Lonchura striata: one gene and its partners. The protein of the gene in region 1 binds, or shares a complex with, the protein of each later gene. Links are inferred from orthologs where the notes say so. Each region holds a gene or a part of one and is shown in the gene's direction. Other genes may lie near its edges.

Evidence for each region. The genes of interacting proteins can lie anywhere in the genome.
Region 2: KAT2A (region 1) and SGF29 share a complex: the UniProt entries of both Homo sapiens proteins name them as parts of the ADA2A-containing complex. The link is inferred for Lonchura striata from reciprocal best matches to the Homo sapiens genes KAT2A and SGF29.
Region 3: KAT2A (region 1) and TADA2A share a complex: the UniProt entries of both Homo sapiens proteins name them as parts of the ADA2A-containing complex. The link is inferred for Lonchura striata from reciprocal best matches to the Homo sapiens genes KAT2A and TADA2A.
Region 4: KAT2A (region 1) and SUPT7L share a complex: the UniProt entries of both Homo sapiens proteins name them as parts of the STAGA transcription coactivator-HAT complex. The link is inferred for Lonchura striata from reciprocal best matches to the Homo sapiens genes KAT2A and SUPT7L.

What each region holds. Positions count from the first base shown.
Region 1 is NC_134627.1:6,426,558-6,433,552, forward strand, and holds the start of KAT2A (histone acetyltransferase KAT2A), read left to right. Parts: upstream 1-3,988; coding exon 3,989-4,216; intron 4,217-4,756; coding exon 4,757-4,880; intron 4,881-4,960; coding exon 4,961-5,106; intron 5,107-5,478; coding exon 5,479-5,568; intron 5,569-5,694; coding exon 5,695-5,876; intron 5,877-6,451; coding exon 6,452-6,643; intron 6,644-6,716; coding exon 6,717-6,823; intron 6,824-6,962; coding exon 6,963-6,995. Other genes in the region: HSPB9 (heat shock protein beta-9), read right to left, coding at 711-1,295; heat shock protein 30C-like, read left to right, coding at 2,339-2,947. UniProt on the Homo sapiens protein: Protein lysine acyltransferase that can act as a acetyltransferase, glutaryltransferase, succinyltransferase or malonyltransferase, depending on the context.
Region 2 is NC_134637.1:737,888-745,836, forward strand, and holds the start of SGF29 (SAGA-associated factor 29), read left to right. Parts: upstream 1-4,932; 5' UTR 4,933-4,969; coding exon 4,970-5,044; intron 5,045-7,462; coding exon 7,463-7,538; intron 7,539-7,619; coding exon 7,620-7,692; intron 7,693-7,949. UniProt on the Homo sapiens protein: Chromatin reader component of some histone acetyltransferase (HAT) SAGA-type complexes like the TFTC-HAT, ATAC or STAGA complexes.
Region 3 is NC_134622.1:10,485,183-10,492,620, forward strand, and holds the start of TADA2A (transcriptional adapter 2-alpha), read left to right. Parts: upstream 1-4,421; 5' UTR 4,422-4,477; intron 4,478-5,779; 5' UTR 5,780-5,998; coding exon 5,999-6,023; intron 6,024-6,694; coding exon 6,695-6,801; intron 6,802-7,438. UniProt on the Homo sapiens protein: Component of the ATAC complex, a complex with histone acetyltransferase activity on histones H3 and H4. Required for the function of some acidic activation domains, which activate transcription from a distant site. Binds double-stranded DNA.
Region 4 is NC_134605.1:6,407,881-6,415,724, reverse strand, and holds the start of SUPT7L (STAGA complex 65 subunit gamma), read left to right. Parts: upstream 1-4,827; 5' UTR 4,828-4,856; intron 4,857-4,890; exon of another isoform or gene 4,891-5,012; 5' UTR 5,013-5,242; coding exon 5,243-5,655; intron 5,656-7,844. Other genes in the region: SLC4A1AP (kanadaptin), read right to left, coding at 310-470, 596-735, 1,584-1,644, 2,385-2,507, 3,183-3,366, 4,061-4,582.

The sequences.
Region 1 (6,995 bases):
GGGCAATGGGCTGTCTGATCTCAGGGTGGCTTTAGCACAAACAGGCGTTCCTGCCTGCATACCTGCTGCCTGCCCACACAGCTGCTGCCTGCCCGGGCCTGAGCGCGGGTGTTTGTGCTGCTTATGCACCGCACCCGGGCTTGAGCTTCTCCCTCCTGCTGCTGGGAGCTCAGGGATGACTCCAGCAGCCCCTTGCCAAGCTGGGAAGGGGAAAGTGTGATACAACCACCTCACACCACACCCTGCCAGGCAGCTTGTTGTGGTTCCTTCTCTATTGTGTGAGGATGGGTATTGGCTGTGGAGCTGGAGATGACGCTGGCAGCATTGTGAGAAAGGGGTGAGGGCACCCCAGCTGCTCCTGTACAGGGGAATGGGACTGCCCTTTCTGCCTGCCTGCCCCCCTTAGCAGCAAAGTGCCCACAGAACCCTCTGGGTCTGCTGTCTGACCCCATTTTGTGCTGCCCTGAAAAGCAAGAAGTTTTTCCCTTTCTGTGCATCCCATTCCTCTGGCACCAAGAGCAGGGCGCAGCCTGCCCATCAACACCCAGAGAACACAAGAAGATTCAATGCAAAAGGATTTTTATTGGATACAAAAACATTCCAGTTTAGTGAAAAAAATGACATCATTGCTGATGAAGCTTGTCTGGGCTTAAACCCGAGACTTGCTCCTGTCTGCTCCGGTCCTGCCGTGGCCATGGGGTCCCATCCTCTCACACCTGGGCTTTGTTGGTGGCTCCCTCCTCAGAAGCTGCTCCGGTCTGTGGGGCGGCGGGGCTGACCTGGATGGGCACGCTCCTCTCGGGAGCGGCCGGCAGCGCCAGCTTGGGGGCCTCGATGCGGAGCTGTCCTTCCTTGGACAGGGAGCAGGTCAGCGCCTCGGCATCCACCTCCTCGGGCACGTCCCACTCCCGCTTCAGCACCTCGTACTTGTAGGAGAAGGAGCCCTTCTCATCAACATTCTGAGTCTCCTTCTGCCCCACCAGCACCACCTTCCTGCCCACCACCTTCACCGACAGCTCCTCGGGAGCGAAGTTCTTCACGTCCTGGCAGACAGAGAAGCCGTCCCCAGAGCTGTGGGTCAGGGTCATGCTGGTGCTCGGGGTGTGCTCCGCGGCGATGGCTCCGTGGTTGCTCAGGAGCTGCTCGAAGCTGCTCATGAACTCCCGAGCTTTCTCCATCTCCTGCTGCAGCTCGGTGAAGATGGTCTCTGCGTGTGGCCAGAGGGTCCTCACTGTGCCCAGCCGGCTGGCCAGGGAGCTGGAGGCGAATGGTGCGAGGTGCATCCGGCAAAGCATCGCTGCTGCTGCTGCTGCTGCTGCTGCTGCTGCTGCTGCTGCTGCTGCTGCTGCTTCTGTCCCGTTTCCAATGGGCTGGAAGCGTTCTGCCTCGCTGCTGCCGTCCGAGGCTTTTATAGCCGTTCCCTGGAGGCGTGGCTTTGTCCCGCACATTACATCACCCTCGGGAGAAGAGCTCAGCTCTTTCCAGCCCGTTCCAGCTCATTCTTGTTACTCACCCGTGAGGAGTGGCACCGCTGACGTCGTGCCCGGCATACCTTCGCCCTGACTCTTACAGCTCTGCTCTCCTGGCTTATAATTAGCAGCATCACCTCAGCCTCCGAGCGGGATGCCTGAGCCACCCTTGCCAAAAATCTGTGCCCTTTGCTTTTCCCAGGCATGGAGTGAGTCTGGGCTCATCTCCTCTCTGCCTCCCCCCACCCTCTGCTGTGTTCCATTTCTCCCCGTCTGTGCCCAGGGGGGTCCCCTCAGGTGACACCAGAAGTCAGTCCGTGGCCAGTGGGGTGCACAGTGAGGTGCTGAGGGGTCAGGACAGGATGGGGGTGGCCGAGAGGGAGAGGGGTCCCAGAAAGTGAAAGAAGTGCCAGTCAGTAGATGACCCAGGGCATGTACTTCAGGGGTGGGACTAATTCCTGTACTGGCAGAAGTGATGAGCTCCTGGCACAATGGATCCTGCCTCCTCTGAACCCCCGGTGGGGGTCCAGGGAGGGGCTCTGTAGCCCCCCGGCCATGGCCCCACGGGCCCTGCTGCATCACGATGGCTCTGCAGAAACCTGAGCTCCCAGCAGTGACTGCGGCTCCCTATTTGTGGTATGTGACCTGTCCCCAGAAACAGGCGCTGCTATTTTGGCTGGTGGATAATCAGCCTCTCAAAAATAGGCGATGGCTCCAGGACGCTGCGTGGGGAGAGAGCGTTCTGGAAGGGACACACCCCTGGGCAGGGGAGAATAAAATCCGCTGCTCCCCTGCCCCAGCCCAGCACGGCTCCAGCCATTGCACCGAGCAGAGCTGCAGCACAGCCAGGAGCGCCCCTCGGAGCAGAGATGCTTTGCCGCCTGCACTTTATGCCGCCCATGTCCAGCTCGCTGTTCCCGTGGCTGGGACCCGTCCGCACCCTCTGGCCACATCCAGGCACCCTCTTCGCCGAGCTGGAGCGGGAGATGCGGCTGGAGATGGAGAGAGCTCGGGAGTTCATGAGCAGCGTGGAGCAGTACCTGAGCAGCGGGAGCAGCCCCGGCCGGCTCGGCATCGCCTCGGAGCGTGCGGCCAGCACCAGCGCAGCCCTGACCCAGGGCTCTGCGGACGGCTTCTCTGTCTGCCAGGACGTGAAGGACTTTGCCCCCGAGCAGCTGTCGGTGAAGGTGGTGGGCAGGAAGGTGGTGCTGGTGGGGCAGAAGGAGACGCAGAGCACAGACGAGAAGGGCTCCTTCTCCTACAAGTACGAGGTGCTGAAGCGGGAGTGGGACGTGCCCGAGGAGGTGGATGCCGAGGCGCTGACCTGCTCCCTGTCCAAGGAAGGACAGCTCCGCATCGAGGCCCCCAAGCTGGCGCTGCCGGCTGCTCCTGAGAGGAACGTGCCCATCCAGATGGGGCCGGCGGTGGCACAGGCAGCTGGCAGCACTGAGGAGGGAGCCGAGCGGGCCAAGGCGTGAAGAGGAGCAACAGGGACCAGGCTGAGCCTGGCTACGGGGGCAGCTGCTGGCCGCAGAGCGGGACTGTGTGATGGCCCGGGGGGGTGGTGTCTGCCCAAAACATGCGGCTTTTTTGATATGTAATAAATATTCCTAACTTTTATTTGTGTGTTTTTGGTGTTTCTGGTCTTGCCCAGCCCTGTGCTTTGCAACTCTCCTGCCTGTGCCCACGCAGCGCGATGGCAGGGTGGGAAACGGGGCTGTGCTGGCACCGGCAATGTCCCGGCATCTCTCCGCAGCTCTGCCCTGGCAGAGGAGGTCGGGCGAGGGGCTCCGGACCGTGTGCAGCGCTGAGAATCCCCGGCAGGTCCCGAGCATCCCCCGGGTAGCTTTCGGACAATTGCCGCCCATCTTTGGGATGCTGCTGGAACCCTCCCGCGCGGTGCCCGCGTCCCCCGTGCCGCACCACCCCGCCAGCGCTGGCACCTTCCGGGCGCCGCCCGCCGCTCCGCGCAGCAGCGGCGCTAATCCGCTTCCCCCGCGCCGCCGGCGGGCGCGGCCTCTCAGCACTGGCCGTGCGGGCGGAGCCGGCGCTCCGGTACCGGCCGGGAGGCGCGGCCACGCTCCGCGCCGGCCGCTTGGCTTGGCCGCACCCCGTGCCGCCCGCGAGAAGGCGGAGGGCGGGTCACACACCGCATTTGGAGAAGAGGGCGTGGCCGTGCTCCATATTTGCGGGAGTCAGCGGAGCGCGGAGCGGTACCGGTTACCGGAGGGGTGGGACGGCTCCTCCGGGCACCGGCGGCTCGGCGTCGCCCCGTGAGAGGCTGTCGCGGTGTGCCGTCATGACCGGACCTCGATGCTCTCCGGACGGTTCACGCCACGCGCGGTCCCGAGCGGGAGCTCTGCTCCCGTTGGCAGAGCGGGTGACGTGAGGCGGCCCCGGGAGCGCCGTGCCGGGAGCAGCGGCCGCGCCTCCCCCGCCGCCGCGGACTACAGTTCCCGGCGTTCCCCGCGCTCCCGGCGCGCAGGCGCGCTGCGCGCGGGGCGCACGCCGGGCCCGGCATGGCGGAGCCGGAGGCCGCGCAGCCCGGGCGGCCCCCGCCGGGCCCCGGGACGGCAGCGGCGGGGACGGCGGGGGCGAGCGGGGTGGCGGCTGGAGGAACGGGATCCAGCGACCCGGCGCGGCCCGGGCTGAGCCAGCAGCAGCGGGCGAGCCAGCGCAAGGCGCAGGTGCGGGGGTTCCCCCGCGGGAAGAAGCTGGAGAAGCTGGGGGTGTTCTCGGCGTGCAAGGTGGGGGACAGCGGCACCGGGAGGGCGGGAGGGCGGGAGGTGGGGTTCCAGGCTGTGCATGACGGCGGGATGCGAGGACGGGCACGGGTGGGGTTGCAGGAGGGATGCAGGGGATACAGGAGTGGGGGGTCAGTGCTGTGCATGGGTGCGGGATGAAGGACGAGGATGCTGACCTGAGTGCGGGATGCAAGCACGCTTATGGGTGTAGGAGAGGAATTTAGGGATGCAGGAGGGTGAGTGCAAGGAATATATGGACAAAGGATGCGGGATTGGGATGTACACGGGGTGCAGGACGGGGTGCTGGGCTGTGTGCAGGCAGGGGCTGCAGGAAGAGAGTGCTGAGTTACCCAAGGGAGGTGCAGGGATGTCACTGGGCAGGGGCTGCAGAGTCCTGGGGTGCACGGGGGAGTGTTGGGGTGGTGGGGGCTGAGAAAACAGGTAGGAGGGAGCCAGGGAAATCCTTTGGCCACAGAAGGTGGCAGCCTCGGCGTGTGGTGGCGCGTGGGCCACAGCAGTGACCGCTGCCGTCCCTCTTCCCAGGCCAACGACGCCTGCAAGTGCAATGGCTGGAAGAACCCCAACCCCCCCACAGCCCCTCGAATGGACCTGCAGCAGCCGGTGACCAACCTGAGTGAGCCGTGCCGGAGCTGTGGCCACGCGCTGGGTAACTCCCCTGGCACCTCCCGGGCACGCCGGGCACGGCGCTGATCCCTTGGTCTCACCGTGGCTTTCTCTCCGGCACAGCGGACCATGTGTCTCACCTGGAGAACGTCTCAGAGGAGGAGATCAACCGTCTGCTGGGCATGGTGGTGGATGTGGAGAACCTCTTCATGTCGGTGCACAAGGAGGAGGACACGGACACCAAGCAGGTGTATTTCTACCTGTTCAAGGTGCGTCTGGGGGTGTGCATGTCTCACTGCCCCGCTCGTGGGGGCACTTGTGCAGAGTTTCTGGTCATTGTTGGGGCTGCTGTCCCACTGCTTGTGCTCTGTTGGAGCTGGCACTGAAGCTGGGGCTGTGAACCATCCCACAGCCCAGAGACCTGGAACGCTGACCCTTTTCTGGAGTGACTGCTCTCCTGGCCTTGGATTCCCCAGGGGGGCAGTTCTGGGGGATGAATGGGTATGCTCCAAGGGCAGCACCGGTGCCTTCCTGGCTCTGGAAATTGGAGCAGCCCCATGGTGGCATTCATTCACCTCCAGCATTCCTGGAGCATCTGGTTCCTGGGACTCTTTTGACCGTGTCTGTTGGTGTCTTTGTAGCTGCTGCGGAAGTGCATCCTGCAGATGAGCCAGCCTGTGGTCGAGGGGTCCCTGGGGAGCCCTCCCTTTGAGAAACCAAACATTGAGCAGGTGAGGCTGCTGTCAGGCTGGTGCACTGACTTGTCCTGTGTTCTGCTGCTCTTGCACGGTCCCCTCACTCTGGCAAGGCCCCAGAGCAGCCCCTGGCACCTCCCCACTGTGCCATCCTCTCCCCAGGGAGTCCTGAATTTTGTGCAGTACAAGTTCAGCCACTTGCCGCCCAAGGAGCGCCAGACCATGTATGAGCTCTCCAAGATGTTCCTGCTGTGCCTCAACTACTGGAAGCTGGAGACACCGTCCCAGTTCCGTCAGCGCTCCCAGAATGACGATGTGGCCACCTACAAGGTCAACTACACCAGGTGAGGGCAGGGGGCCATGGAGCCAGCCACCCTGGGGTCTAACTCCCAGGGTGTCTCCCAGACTGTAAGTCCACTAGGACAGCAGGCACCCAGTGGTGACGTTCCCCCCCTCACACAGCCCCCTGAATATCAGACTAGCCCAGAGGTCCGAGGCTGTGTGGGGAGGAATATTAGGAGATGACAAAGATTTCCAAAAGAGGCTCTTACCCCAATATACGTTGGTTCAGCTCTCTTTATTCTGTGATGCTCATGGGGAGAGCGGGGCAAAAAAGAACGAACAGGAGATGTCAGGGGTTTATCCAGGCTTTGGACAGGGTGGGCTTCCCTGGCTCTCTGCCAACCCCGTTGGGGCAGGAAGGAGGGGTCTGGGGTTATCTTGATCAGAGTCACAGGGTCCCGGGGAAGGGGGCACAGAGTGCCCATGAGCTTACTGTAACACAGTAGGGCCAATGCTTCTAAATGCCACCCGTGCCCTTCGTCCAGCCTGCTCCCAGCAGCACTGTCCCAGCAGGGATATGGTCACTGTGGGCTCCCTGGTTCCAGCCCTGTCTCCAGAGCCCTTTCCTGTCCCACAGGTGGCTGTGCTACTGCCATGTGCCACAGAGCTGTGACAGCCTGCCCCGCTATGAGACCACCCACGTCTTCGGGCGCAGCCTCCTCAAGTCCATCTTCACGGTGACCCGCCGGCAGCTGCTGGAGAAGTTCCGGGTGGAGAAGGACAAGCTGGTGCCGGAGAAGCGGACACTGATCCTCACGCACTTCCCCAAGTAGGTGCTCAGTGTGGAGATGGCTGCTGGAGCACTGAGGGGACTTGCATGCTGATGTGCCACTTCCTTCCAGGTTCCTTTCCATGCTGGAGGAGGAGATCTACGGTGAGAACTCTCCAATCTGGGAGGCTGATTTCACAGTGCCAGCTGCGGAGGGTGCCCAGCTGGTGTCTCGCCCAGGTATTTCAGGAAGCAGCTCCCTCTGTTTGGAGGGTTGAGAGATAAAGGGTGAAGGTGTGGCAGAGCAGTGGCAGTCCTGGGCTGCCGTGGCGTGATGAGGCATTTTCCAGCGGTCATGGGCACCGTGGGTCTGTTGCAGCTGCAGTCAGCACCGTTGCTGTGCCCACCACTC
Region 2 (7,949 bases), on another chromosome or scaffold:
CCCCATAAAAATTCCTTTTTTTCTCTAAAATCTGCAATTTTTCCCAATAAAAATTCCCTTTCCCCTCTAAAATTCGCATTTTTCCCCATAAAAATTCCCTTTCCTCTCTAAAATTCGCATTTTTTCCCCATAAAAATTCCCTTTCCTCTCTAAAATTTTCAATTTTTTCCCCACAAAAATTCCATTTCCCTCTAAAACTCACATTTTTTTCCCCATAAAAACTCACTTTTTTCACCCCAAATCCCCTTTTACCCCCCAAAAAATTCCCCTTTCTCATTTCCCCTCCCCAAAATCTCCATTTTCCCCCCAAAATCCCCTCCCTGCTTTAGCCCCGCCCCATTTAAGCCCCGCCCCCTTTAAGCCCCGCCCCTTTAGGCCCCGCCTCTTTAAGCCCCGCCCCTTTAGGCACCGCCCCTTTAAGCCCCGCCCCCTTTAAGCCCCGCCCCTTTAGGACACGCCCCTTTAGGCCCCGCCCCTTTAGGCCACGCCCCTTTAAGACTCGCCCCTTTAAGCCCCGCCCCTTTCTCACCTGTCGGGCAGGTACGGCCCCACCAGGGGCAGCAGCAGCTTCACCACCAGGGCGGGAACGACGTCGGCCAATAGGACGGCCTGAGGGGCGGGGCCAGGCCACGCCCACTTAAGCCACGCCCACTTTAAACCCCGCCCAATCACAATCCGGCTCTCCAAAGCCCCGCCCCTTTTAGCCACACCCAAACCCCACCTATTTAAGCCCCGCCCACTCAGTTCACGATATTTTAAGCCCCTCCCACTTAGGCCCCACCCATCTAAGTCCCACCCCCTTAATCCACCCTTGTTAAGCCCCACCCCCTTAATTTCCAATAATTTAAGCCACGCCCACTTAATCCACACCTCCTTAAGCTCCTCCCACTTAAGCCCCACCCCTTTCGATCCCTGTCACTTTAAGCCCCGCCCATTTAAGCCCCGCCCATTTAAGTCCCACCCCTTCAAGCTCCTCCCATTTAAGCCATGCTCATTTAAGCCACGCCCCTTTAAACTCCACCCCTTTAAGCCCCTCCCATTTAAGACACACCCATTTAAGCCCCTCCCACTTAAACCTCCACCCCTTAAAGCCTTTGCCATTTAAGCCCCACCCCTTTAAGGTCCTCCCACTTAAGCCACACCCCTTTATGTTTTCCCCCTTTAAGCCCCGCCCCTTTAAGCCCCTCCTATTTAATTCCCATTATTTAAACCCCACCCATTTAAGCCCCGCCCCTTCAATCCCCTCCTATTTAAATCCCATTAATTAAACCCCACCCATTTAAGCCCCGCCCCTTCAATCCCCTCCTATTTAATTCCCATTCATTAAACCCCACCCATTTAAGCCCCGCCCCTTTAAATTCCACTCCTTAAGCCCCGCCCATTTAAGCCCCACCCATTTAAGCTCCACCCATCAAGTCCCTCCTATTTAATTCCCATTATTTAAGCCCCACCCATTTAAACCCCGACCCTTTAAGCCCCTCCTATTTAATCCCCATTATTTAAACCACGCCCATTTAAGCCCCGCCCCTTTAAATTCCACTCCTTAAGCCACGCCCATTTAAGTCCCACCCCTTAAAGCTCCTCCCATTTAAGCCACGCCCATTTAAGTCCCACCCATCAAGTCCCTCCTATTTAATTCCCATTATTTAATCCCAACCCATTTAAGCCCCGCCCCTTTAAGTCCCTCCTATTTAATTCCCATTATTTAAACCACGCCCATTTAAGCCCCGCCCCTTTAAATTCCACTCCTTAAGCCCCGCCCATTTAAGCCCCACCCATTTAAGCTCCACCCATCAAGTCCCTCCTATTTAATTCCCATTATTTAATCCCAACCCATTTAAGCCCCGCCCCTTCAAGCCCTGCCTATTTAATCCCCATTATTTTAACCACGCCCATTTAAGCCCCGCCCCTTCAATCCCCTCCTATTTAATCCCCATTATTTAAACCACGCCCATTTAAGCCCCGCCCCTTCAATCCCCTCCTATTTAATCCCCATTATTTAAACCACGCCCATTTAAGCCCCGCCCCTTAAATTACCATCCCTTAAGCCCCGCCCCCTTAAGCCCCACCCACCCCGGTCCCCACAGGGTCGCAGTCGTGCCGGCTCCGATTCCGTGGCTCCTCCCCCTAAAAAACCCCGGGAAAAATCCCAAAAAATTCCAGTCAGAAAAGGGGCGTGGCCACCCAAAAAGGGGGCGTGGTCCCCCAAAAGGGGGCGTGGCCACTCACAGGGCGTGGCTCCAGCAGGTCGCGGGCGGCGCTGAGCATCACCACGTACGGGAGGTTGTTGCACAGCCCCAAAATCCTGCGGTGGGCGGGGCTTAAAGGGGCGTGGCCACGCGGGGGGCGTGGCCACGGGTGGGCGTGGTTTGCCGGGAAAAGGCGTGGTTATGGTGGAAGGGGAGGGGCTAAAACGGGGCAGGTTTGGCGGGAAAATTTGGGGGGTGAATGGGTGTGGTCAAAGGGGGCGGGGCTTAAGTGGGCTCAGTTTTTGCGGGAAATTTTGGGGGTGAGGCTGGGGGCGTGGTCATTGAGGTGGGCGTGGTCACAGGTGTGGGGGGTCAAAATGGGCGGGGCTTAAATGGGTGGGGTGCCCCCAAAAATGGCTCAAATTTGGCGGGAATTTTTTAAACGGGGGAGGGGCTAAAAGAGGTGTGGCCACATGAGGGTGTGGTCCGAGTGGGCGTGGCTTAAATGGGTGGGGTGCCCCAAAAATGGCTCAATTTTGGCGGGAATTTCTCAAATAGGGGAGGGGCTTAAAGGGGTGCGGCCACATGAGGGTGTGGTCCAAGTGGGCGTGGCTTAAATAGGTGGAGTGTCCCAAAAATGGCTCAATTTTGGCGGGAATTTATCAAATAGGGAGGGGCTTAAAGGGGTGGGGTCACGACAGGGTGTGGTCCAAGTGGGCGGGGCTTAAATGGGTGGGGTTCCTAAAAAAAGGCTCAATTTTGGCGGGAATTTCTCAAATAATGGAGGGGCTAAAAGGGGTGTGGCCACATCAGGGTGTGGTCCCAGTGGGCGGGGCTTAAATGGGTGGGGTGCCCCAAAAATGGCTCAATTTTGGCGGGAATTTCTCAAATGGGGAGGGGCTAAAAGGGTGTGGCCAACCAGGGTGTGGTCCCAGTGGGCGGGGGCTTAAATGGGTGGAGTGTCCCAAAAATGGCTCAATTTTGGCAGGAATTTATCAAATGGGGGAGGGGCTTAAAGGGGTGTGGTCACACCAGGGTGTGGTCCAGATGGGCGGGGCTTAAATGGGTGGAGTGTCCCAAAAATGGCTCAATTTTTGGCGGGAATTTATCAAATGGGGGAGGGGCTTAAAGGGGTGTGGCCACACCAGGGTGTGGTCCAGATGGGCGGGGCTTAAATGGGTGGAGTGTCCCAAAAATTGCTCAATTTTGGCGGGAATTTCTCAAATACAGGAGGGGCTTAAAGGGGTGTGGTCCAAGTGGGCGGGGCTTAAATGGGTGGGGTTCCTAAAAAAAGGCTCAATTTTGGCGGGAATTTCTCAAATGCGGGAGGGGCTTAAAGGGGTGTGGTCAAAGTGGGGCGTGGCTTAAATGGGTGGAGTGTCCCAAAAATGGCTCAGTTTTGGCGGGAATTTCTCAAATGCGGGAGGGGCTTAAAGGGGTGTGGCTACACCAGGGTGTGGTCCAAGTGGGTGTGGCCTAAATGGGTGGGGTGCCCCAAAATGGCTCAATTTTGGCGGGAACTGTGGGGTTTTTAAGATGTGGGAGGGGCTTAAATGGGCGTGGCCACCCAAAGTGGGTTTGGTCCAAAATGGGCGGGGCTTAAATGGGTGGGGGTGTCTCCAAAATGTGTTAAGTTTTGGCGGGAAATTTTAGGGGTTTAGAGATGTGGGAGGGGCTTAGGGGGCGTGGCTTCTGGTGGGGGCGGGGCACTCACCAAAAAGCGGCTCCGATTCGCCAGGAGGAGGTCGGAGGGGGCGGGGGCCGGGGCGGAGTCTTCATCTGGGAGGGGGAGGGGAAGAGAAAAGTTTCCAAAAGGGATTTTGGGGCAATTTTGGGAGATTTTGGGGTTGTTTTAGGAACTTTTGGGGTTGTTTTTTCCCATCCCGCTCCCCACTCCCGGTTCCATTTCCCGCCTCCATTCCTGTCCCTTTATCCCCGTTTTAATTTTAGGTTTTTATCCCGAAATCCCGATTTTTAACCTCATTTTTAACCCAGATTTTTTCCCCTCTCACCTTCCTGCAGCAGCGGTTCCTCATCCGCCATGTTGCACGCCGGTCATGTGACACCGCCATCACGTGATTTTCCCAAACTGAATCCCCATTGGGAGCTGGTGGGCGTGGCTTTGAGACAGAAAAATCCATATTAATGAGCGTAGGGCGTGGCTTTGCATTGAGTTCATTCATAAAAAACCACTATTGTGGGCGTGGCTTAAGAGCTCATAAATAATAATGCCACACACGCGCTGATTTGCGCCATATATGGTTAAAAGGGCGTGGTTTTCACCATATATGGCGCGAAATGCGCGTGGCTTAAGAATTATAAATAATAATGCCACGCAGGCGCGGCTTTGCACCATGTAAGGGTAAAAGGGGCCTGGTTTTGACCATATATGGCGCGAAATGCGTGTGGCTTAAGAATTATAAATAATAATGCCACGCAGCCGCGGCTTTGCACCATATAAGGGTAAAAGGGGCGTGGTTTTGAGTATATATGGCGCGAAGTGGGCGTGGCTTGTGTCCCCTTTCCTCCTCTTTGCTGCCCTGAGTTTAGGCGCGGGTTTGCGCCATATAAGGGAAGGGGGCGTGGTTTTGACCATATATGGTTCGAAGTGGGCGTGGCTTTACCAGCTCCCCCGAGCCTGGGCGTGGTTTTGCCCATATATGGTTCGAAGTGGGCGTGGCTTACGCCCCCCTCCCGCTTCTCCCCTGAGGAGGCGCCGCCATTTTCTCCCCCCGCCGCCATTTTCTGCCCCCCCCCCCCCAATCCCTGTTTTTCCCCTCATGGCGCTCGTCTCGGCCGATTCGCGCATCGCGGAGCTGCTGGGGGAGCTGCACCAGCTCATCAAACAGACGCAGGTACCTCGATTTATTTAGTTTTTTTTTTAGGATTTTTGGGGTTTTTTTCCCCCCTCGGAGTTTCCCCGTTTTGCAGCCCCGGGTCCCGTTTGGCCCCGAGGGATCCTCAAGGGTTTCGGTGTTTTCGAAATCTTTCCGCTCAGGAGCCCAAAATCAACAATTCCACCCCAAAATCCATTTTTTTTCCCCCTCGGGGATCCCAAAAATCATCTATTTCACCCCAAAGATCACCAATTTTACCACAAAAATGACCCATTTCCCACCAAAATCACCAATTTCATCCCAAAATCAACTTACTTTTCCCTCAGGGATCTCAAAAATCACCCATTTCACCCCAAAAATCACCTATTTTACCCCCAAAATTACCCGTTTTGCCCCAAAATCACCAATTTCATCCCAAAATAAACTTTTTTTCCCTCACGAACCCCAAAAATGACCCATTGAACCCCAAAATCAGTTTTTTCCCCTCAGAGATCCCCAAAATCACACATTTCTCCCCAAAATAAACTTTTCCCCCCTCAGGGGTCCCAAAAGTCACCCATTTCACCCCAAAATAACATATTTTCCCCTCACTGATTACAAAAATCATCCATTTCCTCCCAAAATTGACTTTTTTCCCCTCAGGGATCCCCAAATTAACCCATTTCACCCCCAAAACCACACATTTTCACCCCAAAATCAAAATTTTCCCCCTCACAAACCTCAAAATCACCAAATTCACCCCAAAATCAACAATATCACCCCAAAATCAGCTTTTTTTACACTCGGTGATACCAAAAATCACCAATTTCACCCCAAAATCACCAATTTCACCCCAAAATCACCAATTTCACCCAAAATCACTTTTTTCTCCTCAGAAATCCAAAAATCAGCCATTTCTCCCAAAATCAACTTTTCCCCCCTCAGGAATCCCAAAAATCACCAATTTCACCCCAAAATCACCCATTTTACCCCAAAACCAACTATTTTCCCCTTCACAAACCCCAAAAATCCATTTCACCCCAAAATTATCAAACTTACCCCAAAATCAATTTTATTTCTCCTCACAGACCCCCCAAATCACCAATTTCACCCTAAAAATCGCCCATTTCACCCTAAAAGCAACTTTTTTCCCTCTCAAAGACCCCAAAAATCAGTCATTTCACCCCAAAAACACCCATTTCACCACAAAAATCACCCATTTCACCCCAAAATCACCCATTTCTCTCCAAAATTAACTTTCTTCCCCCTCACAGATCCCAAAAATCACCATTTCACCCCAAAATTAAATTTTTCTCCACTCAGGGATTCCCAAAATCGCCCATTTCACCCCAAAATCACCAATTTCATCCCAAAATATATTTTTTCCCCTCAGGTATCCCAAAAATCACTAATTTCACCCCAAAATCAATTTTATTTCTCCTCACAGATGCCCAAAATCACCCATTTCACCCAAAATCACCTTTTTTCCCCTCTGGAATCTCAAAAATTACCAATTTCACCCCAAAAATTGTCTATTTCACCCCAAAATAAATTATTCCCCCTCATGAACCCCAAAATCACCCATTTCACCCCAAATTCAATTTTTCTTTCTACTCACGGATCCTAAAAATCACCCATTTCACCTCAAAATCAACTTTTTTTTTGCACCTTTCACCTTTTTTTCTTCATTTCCCGCTTTTTTCTCATTTTCCCCTTTTTTCCCCTTCTTTTTTCTTCATTTTCCCCTTTTTTCTAATTTGCCCCCTTTTTCTCTCCTTTTTCTTTAATTTCCCCCTTTTTCCCTAATTTTACCTCTTCCTTCTTTTCTTAATTTCCCCCTATTTTTTCTAATTTTCCTCCCTTCCCCTCCTTTTTTCTCTCATTCCCCCCTTTCTCCTCATTTTTCTTCATTTTCCCCCTTTTTCATTCCCCCATTTCTCCTCCTTTTTTCTTTAATTTCCCTTTTTTCCTTATTTTCCCCTTCCCTCATTTTTTTTAATTTCCCTTTCCCTCCTTTTTCTTCATTTCCCCCTTTTTTCTTCATTTCCCCTTTTTCTCCTAATTTTCCCCATTTTCTCCTCATTTCCCCCTTTTTTCCCTATTTCCCCCCCTTTCTTCTCATTTTCCTTAATTCCCCACTTTTTTCCTAATTTCCCCCCTTTTTTCCCCTCCTTTTTCTTTTTCCCTCAATTTTTTCCTAATTTTACCCTTTTTTCTTCATTTGCCCCTTTTTCCCTAATTTCCCCCCTTTTCCCTCCTTTTTTCTTCACTTCCCCCTTTTTTTCCTAATTTCCCCTTTTCCCTCCTTTTTTCTTCATTTCCCCCTTTTTTCCTAATTTCCCCCCTTTTTCCTCCTTTTTTCATAATTTCCCCCTTTTTTTCCTGATTTTCCCCTCTTTCCCCCCCTTTTTCCCTAATTTCCCCAATTTTCCCCAAATCCCCAATTTTCCCCCTCAGGAGGAGCGCTCCCGCAGCGAGCACAACCTGGTGAACATCCAGAAGACGCACGAGCGGATGCAGACAGAGAACAAAAGTAAAAAATTTCCCAGATTTAAAGGGAATTTTGGGGGAATTTTGGGGCTTTTCAGCACATTTTGACCCCAAATTCATTTAGTTTCCCCCTATTACCGCACCAAGCTCCGAGGGCTCTACACCACAGCCAAGGCTGATGCCGAAGCCGAGTGCAAGTGAGTCCAAAATTCTCATTTTTAAACCCAAAAATCTCAAATTCCTCACATTCCCACTTTATCCTTCAAATTCCCATTTTTTCTTCAAATTCCATTTTATCCCTTCAAATTCCTATTTTATCCCCTCAAATTCCATTTTTTTCCCCTTCAAATTCCATTTTTCCCCTTCAAATTCCCATTTTTTCGGCAGTTTCCCACTTTTTCCTCACAGTTCCCTCCTTTTTCGTCCAATTCCTCCTTTTCCCTCACAATCCATT
Region 3 (7,438 bases), on another chromosome or scaffold:
GGATCCCCGGGACCGCCGGGATCCCCGGGACACCCGGGACACCCGGGATCCCCGGGACCCCCGGGACACCCGGGACACCCGGGACAGCCGGGGCAGCCGGGATCCCCGGGACCCCCGGGACAGCCGGGATCCCCGGGACCCCCGGGACCGCCGGGATCCCCGGGACCCCCGGGACCCCCGGGACAGCCGGGGCAGCCGGGATCCCCGGGACCCCGGGACCGCCGGGACACCCGGGACAGCCGGGACCCCCGGGACAGCCTGGACCCCCGGGACAGCCGGGATCCCCGGGACCCCCGGGATCCCCGGGACACCCGGGATCCCCGGGACCCCCGCGACCCCGGGACCGCCGGAACACCCGGGACCCCCGGGACAGCCGGGGCAGCCAGGACCCCCGGGACCTCGGAACCCCCGGGACAGCCGGGACACCCGAGACCCCCGGGACAGCCTGGACCCCCGGAACAGCTGAGACCCCCGCGAGCCCCGGAACAGCCGGGGCAGCCGGGATCCCCGCGACCCCGGGACAGCCAAGACCCCTGGGACAGCCGGGACCCCCGGGCCAGCCGGGAATCCCAGGACCCCCAGGACCAGAGCATCGCTGCTGGGAGGGAAACCCTCCGAGGGGGCTGTGCCTGCTGAGCCTGGAGGCGAGGTGCCCCAAGGGGCCCCCCGGCGCCCATCGGTGTCTGTGGTGGGGGGCCAAGCTGCACCGGGCTCTTCTCGGTGGCACCAACAGCACAAGAGCAATCAGGCAGGACCCGCCGCACACCTGAACACGAGGCAGGGCTCTGCTGCGCAGGTGGCAGGGCACGGGAGCAGAGAGCAGGCAGGAGAGGAGTGCCCTGCTGCAGATCCAGCAGGCCCGTGCCGTGCGCTGCCCGCGCTGCCCGCGGGGACACCGGCCTGTCCCCGGGCACTGCCAGGGAGCACAGGCTGATAACAGGTGCTGAGGGCACGGCCAAGCAGGGCTGGCACTGCCACTGCCCCTCCTGCTCCTCTCTGACCTTCAGCTGCTCCTTCTGCCGACGGACAATGGGTTAAAGAACTACCCCGCTAGCCTTTTTCCACGTTTTTGTGTTTTATTTGAGCTCCGAGCTGTTACAGGGCTGCTGAAGTACAAATGGAACGGGTAACACAAGTTTAAGTGCTCGATGTGGTGACCTGTGCAGGCTGATCCTGCAGGGACCCCAAGGATCCACTGTTCCCAAATACAGAGAATTTCCACCAAGGCGGTGGTTAGAAGGTGTGAGACTGCAGGAAACTGCACCTGGTGGCATGGGTGCCCACTGCAGGCAAGAAATACCCAGAAAAGCCAATTTGGGGGCTTGTAGTTAATAAAATTATTGGGGGAACAGACCATATTCTCACATCCACTTGGACCAAATCTGGAAACTTTGGGCAGGAACACTTTTATTTATACTGCTGTAGAGATAAATACATAGATATAGATGTGTATTTCACACAAACAACCCTCCTCTGAGTGCTTCAGGAAGGAGCTGAAGAGAAGGTTTTGGGTGTTAATTAATGGTCTCCAGTGCTAAATCCCAGCTGCTGCAGAAGTGAGGGGGAGTGATTGGCTTGCTGAGGGGCTGGTCCCAAACCACTGATAATAACTACACACAGAACTTACCAAACCAGGAGGTTACAACAGCTGCTGAGTTCATCCTGGCTGCTGTTCCCAGAGCTCCAGGCCTGCTAAAACCTGCACCTGCACTCTGCCTGCCCAGCCCAGCGCATCCATCCAGCTGCAAACACTGTCCAAACACTGCTGGGGGAGGGATTGCTTCACACACTGAAATCCTGCAGCACCTCCTCCATTCAAGGGCAAAGAGAGGCATGAACACGTGGAAAAGAGCAAGTTAAAGACATTCACCCCAAAAGTCCAGCACGGATTTGGAAGGAGCATTTTTGGGCTATGGAGATGGCGAAGGGTCTGGAGGGGAAGGCATGTGAGGAGAGGCTGGGGGCACGTGGAATGATCAGCTGGAGGAAAGTGAGGCTGATCCTTGTGGGTCCCTTCCAACTGAGGAGATTCCATGAAATTAAACTACTCTGGGCTGGGTGAGAAGCCAGGTTGGACTCAATGATCTGGGAGGTCTGTTCCAACATAACGATCCTGGGATTCAAGTCTGGGCAGGAATAATCTGCGTTTTAATTGTTTCACAGGGTTCAAACAACTTTCCAGTTGTTGTCTTTTAAATGTTTGAATCATACCCACGTTCTGCTTTGGAGGGGGGCTGGTAAATGCACCTGACATCCTTTTCTTGTCCCTCTCCAAAGCTGGACACGGTTATTTACTCTCATTCCATGACTCCCAAGCATGTGCACTGTGAACTCGTGCCACTGCGTTCTCTCAAAAACAGGAAGCTTAGCCTTAGTAAATAAACTCCAAAACACACAGGGGAAATGTTTTTACCTCTCGTGACGCCAAGTGCTGGTTCCACCTCTCCTGACCATTCTCTGATGACACCCCCAGTGCAAACACAGGACAGATCATCCCGGGTGAGGGGGTCGGTGACACTGCCAGCCTGGCACCACTCGTGTCCTGGCAGCCAAGGAACGGAGAGAAAGGTCAGATCACTTTTTAAAGCAAAACACCAGCCCTCGAGGCTCCATTGGCTCTTGTTTTCAACATAAACATTTTCATTTAAGTAACATCAGCGCTTTTGAGAAAGCGTTGTGGGTTCTCTGGAGCCTCGGCCGCTGGGAAATGTCAGCGGTTATTTGGGATTGAACAGAAATGGTTCATCCTTCCATTCCCGGGGGCACACAGCACGTGTGGTGACCGAGCAAGCCCCAAGCTCCGGAGGAAAAGGCGATTCCCATCGCCACCGTGTGTCCGAGGCAGAAAACGCCGACGCCACAAAAAAACTCCACCCAACAGCGCCCAGAAATCCCACCAAGGGCAGGGAGAGGCCTGAAAATGCTCCCACTGATTTCTGCCCCAAAACCACTGTTTCACCTGGGGCTCAGCCTGCACTCCCGCACTGGGCTGCAGGCGAGCAGAAATTACCAGCAAATAATCTCAAACAGCAAATGAAAATTGCTTCATTTGCTAAAACCTCTGAGTAGCAGCGTGTGAGCACTTAGTTCATTCCAGAATATCCCCTTGGATCTTCCTGGAGTGCAGTTTTGGGAGCTGAGCTGAGACCCTTTGGAGCCGTTTCACACGTGCCATGGAGCAGCCATGGGCTGGGGGCACCTTCAGGGCTCTGCTGAGCTGGAAACCACTGGAGCAGGCTCCAGAAAAAAAGATTTTTCCTGTCACTGCTCCCTCCAGGAGCCATCAGGAGGCTGTGGTTTTGGAGACACCGTGTCACTAAAACATTGGCCTGAAAATCCTGTAAGACTCCACGGATTTTCAATGTTCCTCATAAATATTTTTTCACTCCCATGCCAGGGGCATAACAGGAAAACCCTCAACACTGAAATATCTGAAGTCCACGGAAAGCTGCAGGATTCAGGACAGCATTCTTACCTTGCAGATGCATCACCTTTCCTGGGAACAGCAGGAACCAGATTCCCACATGCTGATTCCTTCCATTAACCACCCAGAGTCCTAATTCCCAGATGCAGGAAAAACCTGTTAGCAGAAGCAATAAACATTTAATTGACATTCCGTACATTTGCCTCTCCCAAATCCTCAATTTTTTTTCCCATTTTTTGCACGTGCCTGGGCAAAAGAAAAAGGGAATAACTGCCAGCATTTTTAATCTTGTTGGTAAATAGTTCAGACAAGGAGCATGGATGGACGAGGAGGAATGGCTTCAGGCTGCCAGAGGCCAGGGTTAGATGGAATATCGGGAAGGAGATGTGGGGAGACCCTGGCACAGGCTGCACATCCCTGGCAGTGTCCAAGGGCAGCGGAATCCGTCCCTGCCATGGCAGGGGTGGCACTGGGTGATGCTGAAGTTCCTCCCCACGCACACCACTCCGGGATTCCCCGTTACATCCAGCTCTAATCCCCCGCAGGACCAGTTCCTCCCGTAGCTGCTTCACACGGCAGTGCCACGGGAGCCCTTTCCCCGTGGAAATCCGCCCTTCGCCACCCCGAGGGCCGGGCAGCGCCAGGAGCCGGGGAGGCTGCGGGAAGGAGCGGGGCTCCGGTGACCGAGCCGCCCCGGGAAGGAGCGGGGCTCCGGTGATGGGCGGTCAGAGGGGTCCGGGGCTGTTCCCCGCGGGACCCCGGGCGGCAGCGGCACCGGCCGTGCGAGCCCGGTTCCTGCCCAGCCCCGGTGCCGGTGCCGGTGCCGGTGCCGGTGCCGGTGCCGGTGCCGGTGCCGGTGCCGGTGCCGGTGCCGGTGCCGGTGCCGGTCCCGGCCCGGTTCGCTCCCGGTCCCCCTCGCCCCGCTCGGGGCGGCGCGGCCCCTGCGGCGCGCGCCGGTCCCGCCAGGGGGCGCGCGCCCCGCCCCGGCGCGTGCGCACGGCGGGCCCGGGAGCGCGCGCGCGCGCGCGGGCCCGACCCGGCGCGCCGAGCGAGGTGAGAGGCGAGCCCCGGCTCCCCCCCCCCACCACCCCCGGCTCCCCGCGCCGCCCCCAGCGGGCCGCACCGGGACCGGGACCGGGCCGGGCCGGGCCGGGGGCAGCGCGCAGAGCGGGGCTCGGGCAGCGGGGGGGGCGCCGGGAGCGCGCGGGCCGCGGCGGGGCCGGAGGGGGCGGGGCCGGGCGGGGGCGCCGCCTGGCGGTGACGGGGAGAGGGACAGGCGGGGCGGGAGAGGAATTGGGGACGGGAGCGGGAATGGGAATACTGGGATAGGGATATGGGGATGGGAATGGGAATGGGGATATGGGGATGGGAACGGGAATGGGAATATGGGAACGGGAATATGGCAATGGGGATATGGGGATAGGGATATGGGGATGGGAATGGGGAGATGGGGATGGAAATGGGAATGGGGATATGGGGATGGGAACGGGAATGGGAATATGGGAACGGGAATATGGCAATGGGGATATGGGGATGGGAATGGGGATATGGGGATGGAAATGGGAATGGGGATATGGGGATGGGAACGGGAATGGGAATATGGGAACGGGAATATGGCAATGGGGATATGGGGATGGGAATGGGGAGATGGGGATGGAAATGGGAATGGGGATATGGGGATGGGAACGGGAATGGGAATATGGGAACGGGAATATGGCAATGGGGATATGGGGATAGGGATATGGGGATGGGGATATGGGGATGGAAATGGGAATGGGGATATGGGGATGGGAACGGGAATGGGAATATGGGAACGGGAATATGGCAATGGGGATATTGGGATAGGGATATGGGGATGGGAATGGGGATATGGGGATGGGAACGGGGGTAGGAACGGGGATGGTAACGGGAATGGGGATATGGAGATATGGGGATGGGAATGGGATTGGGATGGAGATGGGATTGGGAATGGGGATGGGAATGGGGATGGGATTGGGATGGGAATATGGGGATATGGAGATGGGATGGGTATGGGGATATGGGGATGAGAACAGGGATGTGGATATGGGGATGGAGATGGGGATATGGGGGAGTGGGAATTGGGATATGGTCGAGTGAGGACTGGGAATGCGAATGAGAATAGGAACTGGGATGTGAGGAGTGGAATATGGGGAAGTGGGATATGGGGAATGGGGATTGGGATGTGAGGGACTCAGAACTGGGACGGGCAGTGGGATGCGGGGAGTGCCTCTGGGAGGTGCAGAGCACTTCCCTGCGCAGCAGCTGCTCATAACTCTGCTCGCTTCGGGGTGACATCCCCACCACCCCACACCTCCTGTCGGATTCCCCCCACAGCCAGAGCAGGGACTCTGATCCGTGTGGAGTGGGCTCTGACGGCTGCTGAAGCCCTTCTGCTTGCTGCTCAGGACATCCTGGGAGGATCAGAGCCGCGAGGGCTGTGGGAGAGGCAGAATTCCCTTTGGGATAATTCCCTTTGGTGTGGGACAAGGCTGACGCTCCTGGCGCGTTTCCCAGCCGGGTTTTACCCAGGGAGCAGGCAGCGCCGGGGGAGGGATGGAGCGCCTGGCCTCCTTCAGCAGTAAGTGCCTTCAGAGAATCCAGCTCCCACGTCTGCTCCTGGAAAACCTGCACGGCACAAGGATTCCTTGGAGCAGTGGGATTTCGGTGTCACTGTCCCAGAAAGGGGCCAAAAACTGAGCGAATGTGGCACTCTGGGGACGTGGTGTAGTGCTCACAAAAATTATTCGGTCTGACTTTTGCCTTATTTTTCTCTACTTATAATTGAACTGATTCAAAACCATTTTCTTGGAAAAAGTCAGAATCATGGAATCCCAGACTGGTTTGGGTTGGAAGAAACCTCAGAGCCCACCCAGTGCCACCCCTGCCATGGCAGGGACACCTTCCACTGTCCCAGGGTGCTTCAAGCCCTGTCCAACCTGGCCTTGGATACTTCCAGGGATCCAGGGGCAGCCACAGCTCCTCTGGGCATCCTCACCACCCTCCTAGGGAAGGGTTTCTTCCCAGTTCTCCAATCTAACCCTGCTCTCTTTGAGTTTGAAGCCATTATAACCTGACAGTCATATTAATTTCGTTGCACAACTGAGTTCATTTAAAATCCATAGAATCACAGAACATCCTGAGCTGGGCCCACAAGAACCATCAGCAGCCGGGGCTGGGCACAGGGGGATTTAGGGGCTGCCAAAGCAGTGCTGTGCTTGTGTGACAGGAGATTTCCTGTGGTTTTCCCAGGTGACCCTTTTGATAAGCCCCCGTGCCGAGGCTGCTCCTCGTACCTGACGGAGCCCTACGTGAAGTGTGCTGAGTGTGGGCCCCCTCCCTTCCTGCTGTGCCTGCAGGTGAGAAAGCAAAACCATTGAGAGACTCCCAAGTCACAAACACAGGTTATTAGGAAAAGGGAAAAGAAACAAAATCCATGCAATAACACAAAAGGAAAACCACTGGCAGAGTCAGAACACAACCTGACACCCTTTTGGACAGCGTGTTGGTGGCAGTCCAAATTGGAGTGGCTGCAGTCCCTGGAGTGGCAGGGGTGGTTCTGTCAGAGCAGGGATCCTGTAGAAGGATGGAGTCTTCCTCTGAAGCTCCAGTGGAAAACCCCAGCTGTTCCTTTTGGGAATCTATTAGAAAAACCTGTGTTGGTGTTCCAAAAACACAGATTATATCCAGGTAGGAATGCTTGGCTCCTCCCTCTGGGTGGAGCATCTCACAATGGGATGTTTTAACTCAGTAGCCCATTATCAGCAGATGTCTCCCCTGAGAGAGGATTGGTTGTGGAAGAAAGAAGGAAAACTGCCCAATGAACAGAAGGCAATGCCATAGAGATGGCAATAGAGCACGTCTTGCCTTTCAATCTGGGATAGGGTCCAGCAGCAGGGCACAGCTCTCACTGCCCCGAGGGAGCCAGCCAGGGCTGTCCCAGTCACCTCTGCTCTCTCCAGCAGGGACCAGCCCACCCGGGACAGGGAAATGACA
Region 4 (7,844 bases), on another chromosome or scaffold:
TAGTGCTGTACCACCACTGAACCCTCCAGCACCTGTTATCCCTCACAACCTACTGTCTTTGCAGGATTTATTGTTGTCATATGCCTGTCAATCCAAGATTCTTATTCTTTGAAGGAGAATGAGATATTTCTTTAGGATGTGTCCTGTGGACTTAAAAGCCTGGAATTATTTTCCAGTTATTTAAAACTATCCTGTTTTGGCATTTCCTTCATCCACTGCCATAACCCACTAAGATTTCTTCTTAGTCATAATATAATATAATACAGACATGAGAGAGTAACCCTGACATGTCATAACAATTGTTCTTACCAGGGAGTCATATGTCTCTGGTTTTTCTTCTATTTTACCAGCTTTCTTCATTCTATTCAGTCGTTTCTTTTCCACAGCACCAGTTCGATCGAGGAAGGTGTCATCATCACTGTCATAAAAGTCCTCATCTTCCCAGTTCTTTGATTTCCTTTTTCGGGATACTGAGAAAGGCACAGGAGAAGGCAAGAAACAAAATGATTTGCATATCACTCAGCAATAAAGCAAATTCGAGATCGCAATCTCAAATGCCTAATTTAGGGCATTTAGAATGATCAGAGTTATTCACCTGCTTCTTGCCTCAGTACTCCTCGAGCATCAAGCAGCCTGCAAGCTTCCAGTGCACATTGTATCATCGCTTCCTTCTTTTTTCCTGAATGGAGAACTTCTGCCACTAGCTGCTTCCCTGATGCATCATCCACAGGCAACCTGATCAGTTTGAAGGATCAGAGAACAGCTCAGATACAAACAGCTTTTCAGAGATGCTACTCAGATATTTTACAATGGCATTGCCATTTCATTTTAATCTTTTTGTGCGTCAAATTTTTCCACTTTTTATTTCATACAGAACCAATCAAAAGACAAGCATGATTTCCTAGTCATGTAAGTCAATTTGTATTTCACTGGTCCAAACAGTAATTTTTCCTCTATTTATTCCATTAGAAATACAGAAAGTTAGAAGGTTAAATGTCAATCCCTGAATCATTTTAAGTACTGGTATCTTGTATTCATACAATGTGGGTAACAAATAATTTCCATGACAAAGCAAAGGATTTTTTAAGCAGTACAATCATTACTATGTTGAGACTTGTTGACTTAATTTCCACCTCACCTTCTCCTGTCTTATAAATGAATTACATTAGTGGCCTCTAGCAGGAACCCCTCAAAAATTGTCTTATACCATACAGGAACTGAAATTGGACAAACAGTAGAATTAAGTTTGGGGTTTTTTTGGATCTTTCTCATTAGGAATTGAAAGAGATTGTTTCCTAGTTTCTTCTCTTGTATTCCTATTTTACATACTGGGGAGCTGAAAGAACCTAGATCCTTGCTTTCCCAATTTTCATCCCCTAGGAAAACCAAATATTGTAAGAACAAAAAAGGATCATAGACACTGAACTAGGCACTGATCCTTGAACCTCTGTCTCAGTATCAGGGCTTAAATCTAAATTTAACTGGCTTCCTTGCCAAGTGTGACACAACAATTAATTCCTTCAGTTTTGTTTGCAAATTCAACAGTCACCTTCCATGTACCAAAGGAATGGAGATGTACATACTTGATCCTGCACAGCCAGCTGTTGTGCCCACGATCATCATACTCATATTCTAACTCTTCTCCTAGAAAAGAAAATAAAATTGATGTGGTAACCAAAATTGAAATAAGCAGGAATAACCTTTACAGCAGGGACATTCTTCAAAACAAAAGGATTAACAAGCTCTTGCTGCATACCATGATTTTGCTTTACTTATGCTGATTTGGGTTTTTTCCTAAAATCAAGGCTTTTTCAGACCAGAAAATCTTTAAGTGGCCTGTTTAGGAACATGCAATTCAAAGAAAAACCAATCTTGTCTCTGTATGCGTGAAAGTATATGATGCTGAAGCAACAACAGATTGCAATCTGAATTCACAGATACTGTTTGTCTTCAAGGTTGCTTTTTCACTTCAACAAGTAAGTGAATATTCTTTAAGTTTCACTAGCAACCACTGAAACTTTAGACCACTTAATTATTGCCTTTTATCTTTCTTAAATTTTTCCACGTAGCTTCAAAGCATGGGTGAAGTTTGAGTGTCACTCCAGAGGATACAAGCTGAAGAATATTCCAGAATATAAACTACTCACTGCAGTTTAGGAATTAGTAACTAAGACTCAGATGTACAACGGTGAGCTGAGTTTTAATGAAAAAAACCCAAAACAAACCACTACAAATCCCCACCAAAACAATGTAACCCACAGTGTAACAGAAAGTTTTGCTCCCACATGACACTTTATATCCCCCTGAAACATAAACAACAAAGTAACACTAGGCTGAGTTAAAAAAAAAAATCACATTTAATAAAAAAAAGAAAAAAAAACTACCTTCTCTATCAAAAAAGCCCTGTAAGGCCTTCCTAGGGTCTTTCATATAAAAGGCATCTTGAACATCCTGAAAATCAACAGCAATAGGGTTTTCTTCAACCTCATCCTCCTCAGCATCCTCACCTAGAAGACATCAAAATTCCAAAAAAAAAAACCCATGAAACATGAGAAAGAGAACACCACCATATTTCAACTTTCATTAGTTTGAAAGAAGTAGCAGCTACATCATAAAATTACTTCCCTTAAATGTATTATTCCTACACCCAATAAAAAAAAAATTTGCTATTAGTTATTCCAATATACTATTCAGTTTTGCAAATCAATGTCAGTCTCACTACTTTCAAAGGTTTATAACCTTATACGTTTTAACTCAAAAAAGCCCAATTAACTTGCAAAAAGCTCATTAATTATAATTTATCTAGCCTCTAATACGTGGACTTGCTGTTTAAATGCAAAGACAGCTATACTGCATAGAAGTCTCAAGCAGCAAAATTTCACCTCTTGGGCAAAAGTGTGGACATCATCACAGAGGCAACCCAAAGAGCATTAATTAAGCTCTAAGTTTCATGGCTTTTAATAGGTATAGGCAAATTACCTCCTGCTGTTTAAAAGGAGCTCACTATATGTTAGCTTGTCACATACCCTTCGTTTTAGCAGCAGAAAGATTAATTTGTACTCAAAAACTTTGACTGGATTGTGACTCTTGGTAGCCAGTTGGAATATTAACCCTAGTATTCAGTGAAAATGCACTTACAGACCTTCTAATACATATCAGTCAATCAATACATCCTCACTTACCCATGCCCCATGAGCAGCTCATATCACTATTCTGACTCCTTTCATTTCTCTCCTCTTTCTCATCTTCCTCATCAGAGTCCTCTCCCAACATTGTCTTTTCTAATTTTGCTTGTTGCTGCTTGCGTAGTGCCTTCAGTTCAGTCACAGTTAGCTCTGACTCAGACTCCTGGTCCTCTTTGGGTCCCTAAGTCAAAACAGAAAATTAGCAAAAGTGTTTTTAAAAAAAACCCAACAAGTATTTCCAGCACACATGCAGGGTTACATATAATAACACATTATTACATATAATAGGAACATCATTACACCGCTCTTCAAAAAGTGGACTTATTTGACTATAAATGGTTTGCATTCCAAAATGTATTAGCTTTAATGGCATTTTCAAAAGAAAGGCATGGAGAAATAAACATTGTAGTGTACTTGCAGTCAGATCCATCTCACATATAACTGTAATTAAAAGGCTAAAGGCAAAAATTCACGTCAGAACTACACGGGTGAATCTGAGGAACAAGCAGGTTCTCAAGCGCGTGTACAACACACAATGTGCTGCCCAAGTCCCTCCTAACAAACACTCCCCTTTTTCACAAAGAGATATTAGTTCTTTATTTATTGTGGCATCATACTGTCAGAAAGACATTCCTAATACATCACACTTTGGAGATCACACTTTTGCACACACAGCACATCACTGCAGCCCCACACCTCACTGCAGGGCCGGCAGCAGACAGCCACAGCTTTTCTCCCGGTCAAACAACCACGGCAGCGCTGGGCTGCTTCCAAACGGCCTCACACCTCATGGAGCCGGGAAAACTCCCGAGCCTGACCCGGGCCAGCCTGTACCACCCCGCACACGCTCCGGAGCCGCCCGAGCCCCGACGCACCTGCAGGAGGAAGAGGCGGGAGCTGCCGCCGAAGCGCAGCCCGTGGCCCACCCGCACCCGGCAGTAGGTGCGGGGCGGCACCCGCGCCTTGTTGAGGAAGGTGCCGTGGGTGCTGCCCAGGTCGTACACGTAGAACCCGGCGGCATCGGCGCCGCCGGGGGAGCAGCCGGCGCCGCGGTACTGCAGCACGGCGTGGTGCCGCGACACCGACGGGTGCTCCAGGGACACGGCGCAGCCGGGCAGCCGCCCCACCAGGAACCAGCTGCTGTCGTCCAGCCGCACCGAGCCCAGCGCCACGCCGCCCTTCAGCACCTCCAGCCCGTACCCGGAGGCGGCGGGCGGCCGGCTGCCCCACGGCGGCTCCTCGTAGCGCGGCGCGGGCGGCGCGGCGGCGCGGGGCGCTCCGGGCGGGCCGGGCCCCGGGTCGCCGGGCCCGGGGGCGGCGGGCAGCGGGCGGCTCGGGCGCTTGAAGGCGGCGGGCTCGGCCTCCGCTGCCATTGCCGCCTCTGCCTCCTCCGCCATCTTCCCCGGTCCGTCGCCAAACGGAGTCCGCCGGGAACGAGCGCGGCAGCGCCGGGGGCAGCGCGCAGCTCCCGGGGCCGCTCCGCCGCCGCCCAGCGCGGCCCGGGGCAGCGAGGGGGGCGAGTCAGGGAGGGCGGCGGGCGAGGCGGAGGCGGCGGCAGCGGAGGCAGCGGCGGCGGGCGCTTCCCTCCTCCGGGCTGGAGGAGCGCGGGTGGCGGGGGAGCCGCGGTGCTGGCGGACCGGGACGCACTTCCGGCAGGGAGCGCACCGCAGGGTAGGCGGGGGCGGGCAGCCGCGGGCCTGGGGGGGAAAGAGGGCGAGGGGCGAGGGCGGCCCCCGCTCAGCGCGGCCCGGGTGGGTCCACAGCAGCCCTTGTTACACGCAGAAACGGCTTCACGATCGCGTTTGTTTGTGCCCCTTCTCCCCCCAGGAAAAGCCGCGGTGCGATCTATAAGCTGCCGGAGCGGCGACCCGGGGCTGCCGAGGACACTGCGCTGCTCGGCGCGGCTCTGAGCCACAGCGGCTCGGCAGCCGTAACTTGAGGCGGCTGGAGCGGCGTCCCGGCTCCTGTGTCTGCTGCTGCCCGAAGTGCTTTTCCCCGCAACAAGCCTCCTTTGTACCCGCAGTACTCTGGGTTCTGAGCGCGACCTATGCGTAAAAATGTTGCGGTACTGGGGTGAGATCCCGGTTTCCTCCAGCCAGGCCAACCGCAGCTCCTTTGACCTGCTGCAGCGCGAGTTTCGGACTGTGGAAGTGCAGGATCCGCCGCTGCACCAGCCGTCCGCGAACAAGCCCCGGCCCACCACCATGCTGGACATCCCCTCCGAGCCCTGCAGCCTCACCATCCACACCATCCAGCTCATCCAGCACAACCGGCGGCTGCGCAGCCTCATCGCCGCGGCTCAGGCTCAGAACCAGCAGCAAGCAGAGGGCATAAAAACCGAAGAGAATGAGCCTCTGCCATCTTGTCCTGCCTCCCCACCTCTCCCTGATGACCTGCTTCCTCTGGATAGCAAAACCCCCAAAATGCCATTTCAGCTGAGGCACAGTGACCCAGAGAGTGATTTCTACAGGTGTGTTGGTGTTTCTTTAGGTTAGTTCTTGGCCGAAAGAAAGCTGAGTGTTCTAAAATATCTATGTAGCTATGTTCATTCCCTTAGGCTAAAGGGTCAAGCTGTTGTACGTAAAGTATAAAACAGGCTTTAGAAAGGTAATACATAGATTTTTTTCTATGTGAATAACATGTATATTGCTTGCTTTTGCTTCTCTCTGTAAAATGTAGAGGTGTGGTGCTGATTTCTGTCTTGTTAGTGCTATGCTAAATGTGTATGCATGGTTTTGTTAGTGGTATTTCAACAGTTTCAGTTACAGGATGTGAAGTCTCTTCTGTCCAGATCACTTACAACTAAAGTTGTGTTACTATAGTTGCAAATCCAGAAAACACATGCCTAGGTTTAGGCTGTTGAGCTGTAGGTTCTGAAAAGATGATTTGATAATGTATTTGTCAGATTTCGGTGGTCAAGGACCTGTGACACAGTGACTGTCATATTCCACCGGTTTGGTGGTCCTCGAGTCAGAGCTGGAAATGCACACAAGTGAAGGGAATTCTTGTCTCTGCTACTGGCTCCACCAGCTGGAGAAAGTGTAAAGAAAATTTGCACTGCTTCTACCTCTGCTGCCAGCCTTTGATTAAAGAATATTGCCACCACTGCCTGTCTATCCCTCTACAGGCACTAAGTTCACAAGGAGCTGTTGCATTTCTTGCAATATCTGACAGTACTTTGTAGGTTATGTGCATTTAAATTAAGGGATTAATCCTTGCTACTGTGTCCACTAATTAACATTTTGAGGGAAAGGATAACACATGCTAGTTTTTAAAATGGTAAATATGCATCAATAGAATGTAGTTTATCACTTTAGTGCCACTGAAATCTTTAGTGGCCTGAGGTTGTATGAAATGCATTTTATTGAAAGATGTTGCATTTGGTAACAGTGTCTCTCGGAACAATGGAATGATTCTTTATTGCTGTTTCTGGAGGAACACTATCATCCTTATCAGAAGATACAACGTAATTAGCAGAGAGCAGACACTGAAGGGAAATAGGGTTTTGTGAGAGTAATCAGAGCCTCTGACTCCTGCACTGTGGTCCTGTGGTTTGTAGAACTGAGAAGTGTTCTCTTCTGTCCTCCTCAGTGGCTTCAGCTTGAAATTTTTTTCTATGGCTCTGGCCATCTTTTAGGGGCTTCTTTGTCTTTTTGTTATTTCTTCTGAGTTTTTGGGGTCTGAGTAAAGAAATGTTATTTAGTGGTCAGCCACATGGGGGAGTGTAAGGACTACGTTGTGGAGACTGGAGAGTTTTGAAATGAAATGTTTTGTGGCTGACAGAGTGCATTTATAATGAGCTGCAGTGTATTCTAGAATTTGATTGTGTGCTTGCTAACCCAAACATATATATGCTTTTCCAGGGGGAAGGCTTTGAGTTGTTGCATGTTTCTTCCTACTGTTTTGAGACATGTGAATTAAGAATAGCAGCTGTTTTATAAGTGCTATATAGTAGCAAAAATGAAGTTCTATGATTTGCTGATGCTTCTGAGTGTGTAAAATCAAATCAAAGCAAGAACATTCTTCCCCCTAATAAAACATGCTAGTGCTTAATTCTGTGCTGCCTTCTGAAGTACAGTTGTCAGAATTACAGTGTTTTGATAAATCCATATTTTAAGTCTGTTTTTTTGGTCAGTATCCTGGGTCTGAGAAGTAGTGCATAGGTACATTTAGATACAGGAAGAAAGGAAGATAAGAGTTGCCAGCCTGAATCAGAACACAGGTTTGGTTAATGTAGGCCTGACCTTTTCTGTTTCCCTGTTACTCATTTTCATTCTTTGACACACTGTCCCCTTGTCTTTTATTTTGTTATCTCCTGATTTGGTTTTCCTCAGCCCCATATATAAACCCTACCTCCTTGTATGATGAGGAAGAGGCAGAGTTTAATTTATGGCTATTTTTGAGTTGGTTTGGTCTTATCAATTCTCCAAAGTCTGTACTAACAATGGTTTTATAATTACTGCACTGTTCCTTTCCTACAGTTTTCCAGACTATTTATAAATATGTTAAAAATGCATGATAAAAAATATGTTGATTCTGGCACAGATCCCCCAGGGAGGACCTGGACTCTAGAGTAGAGATCTCTGTTCTACTTGCTTGCTGATAGATTTGGAGGACTCTGATAGGTTTGTGAAGCAGGTTTTACAGTTAAAAAAAATT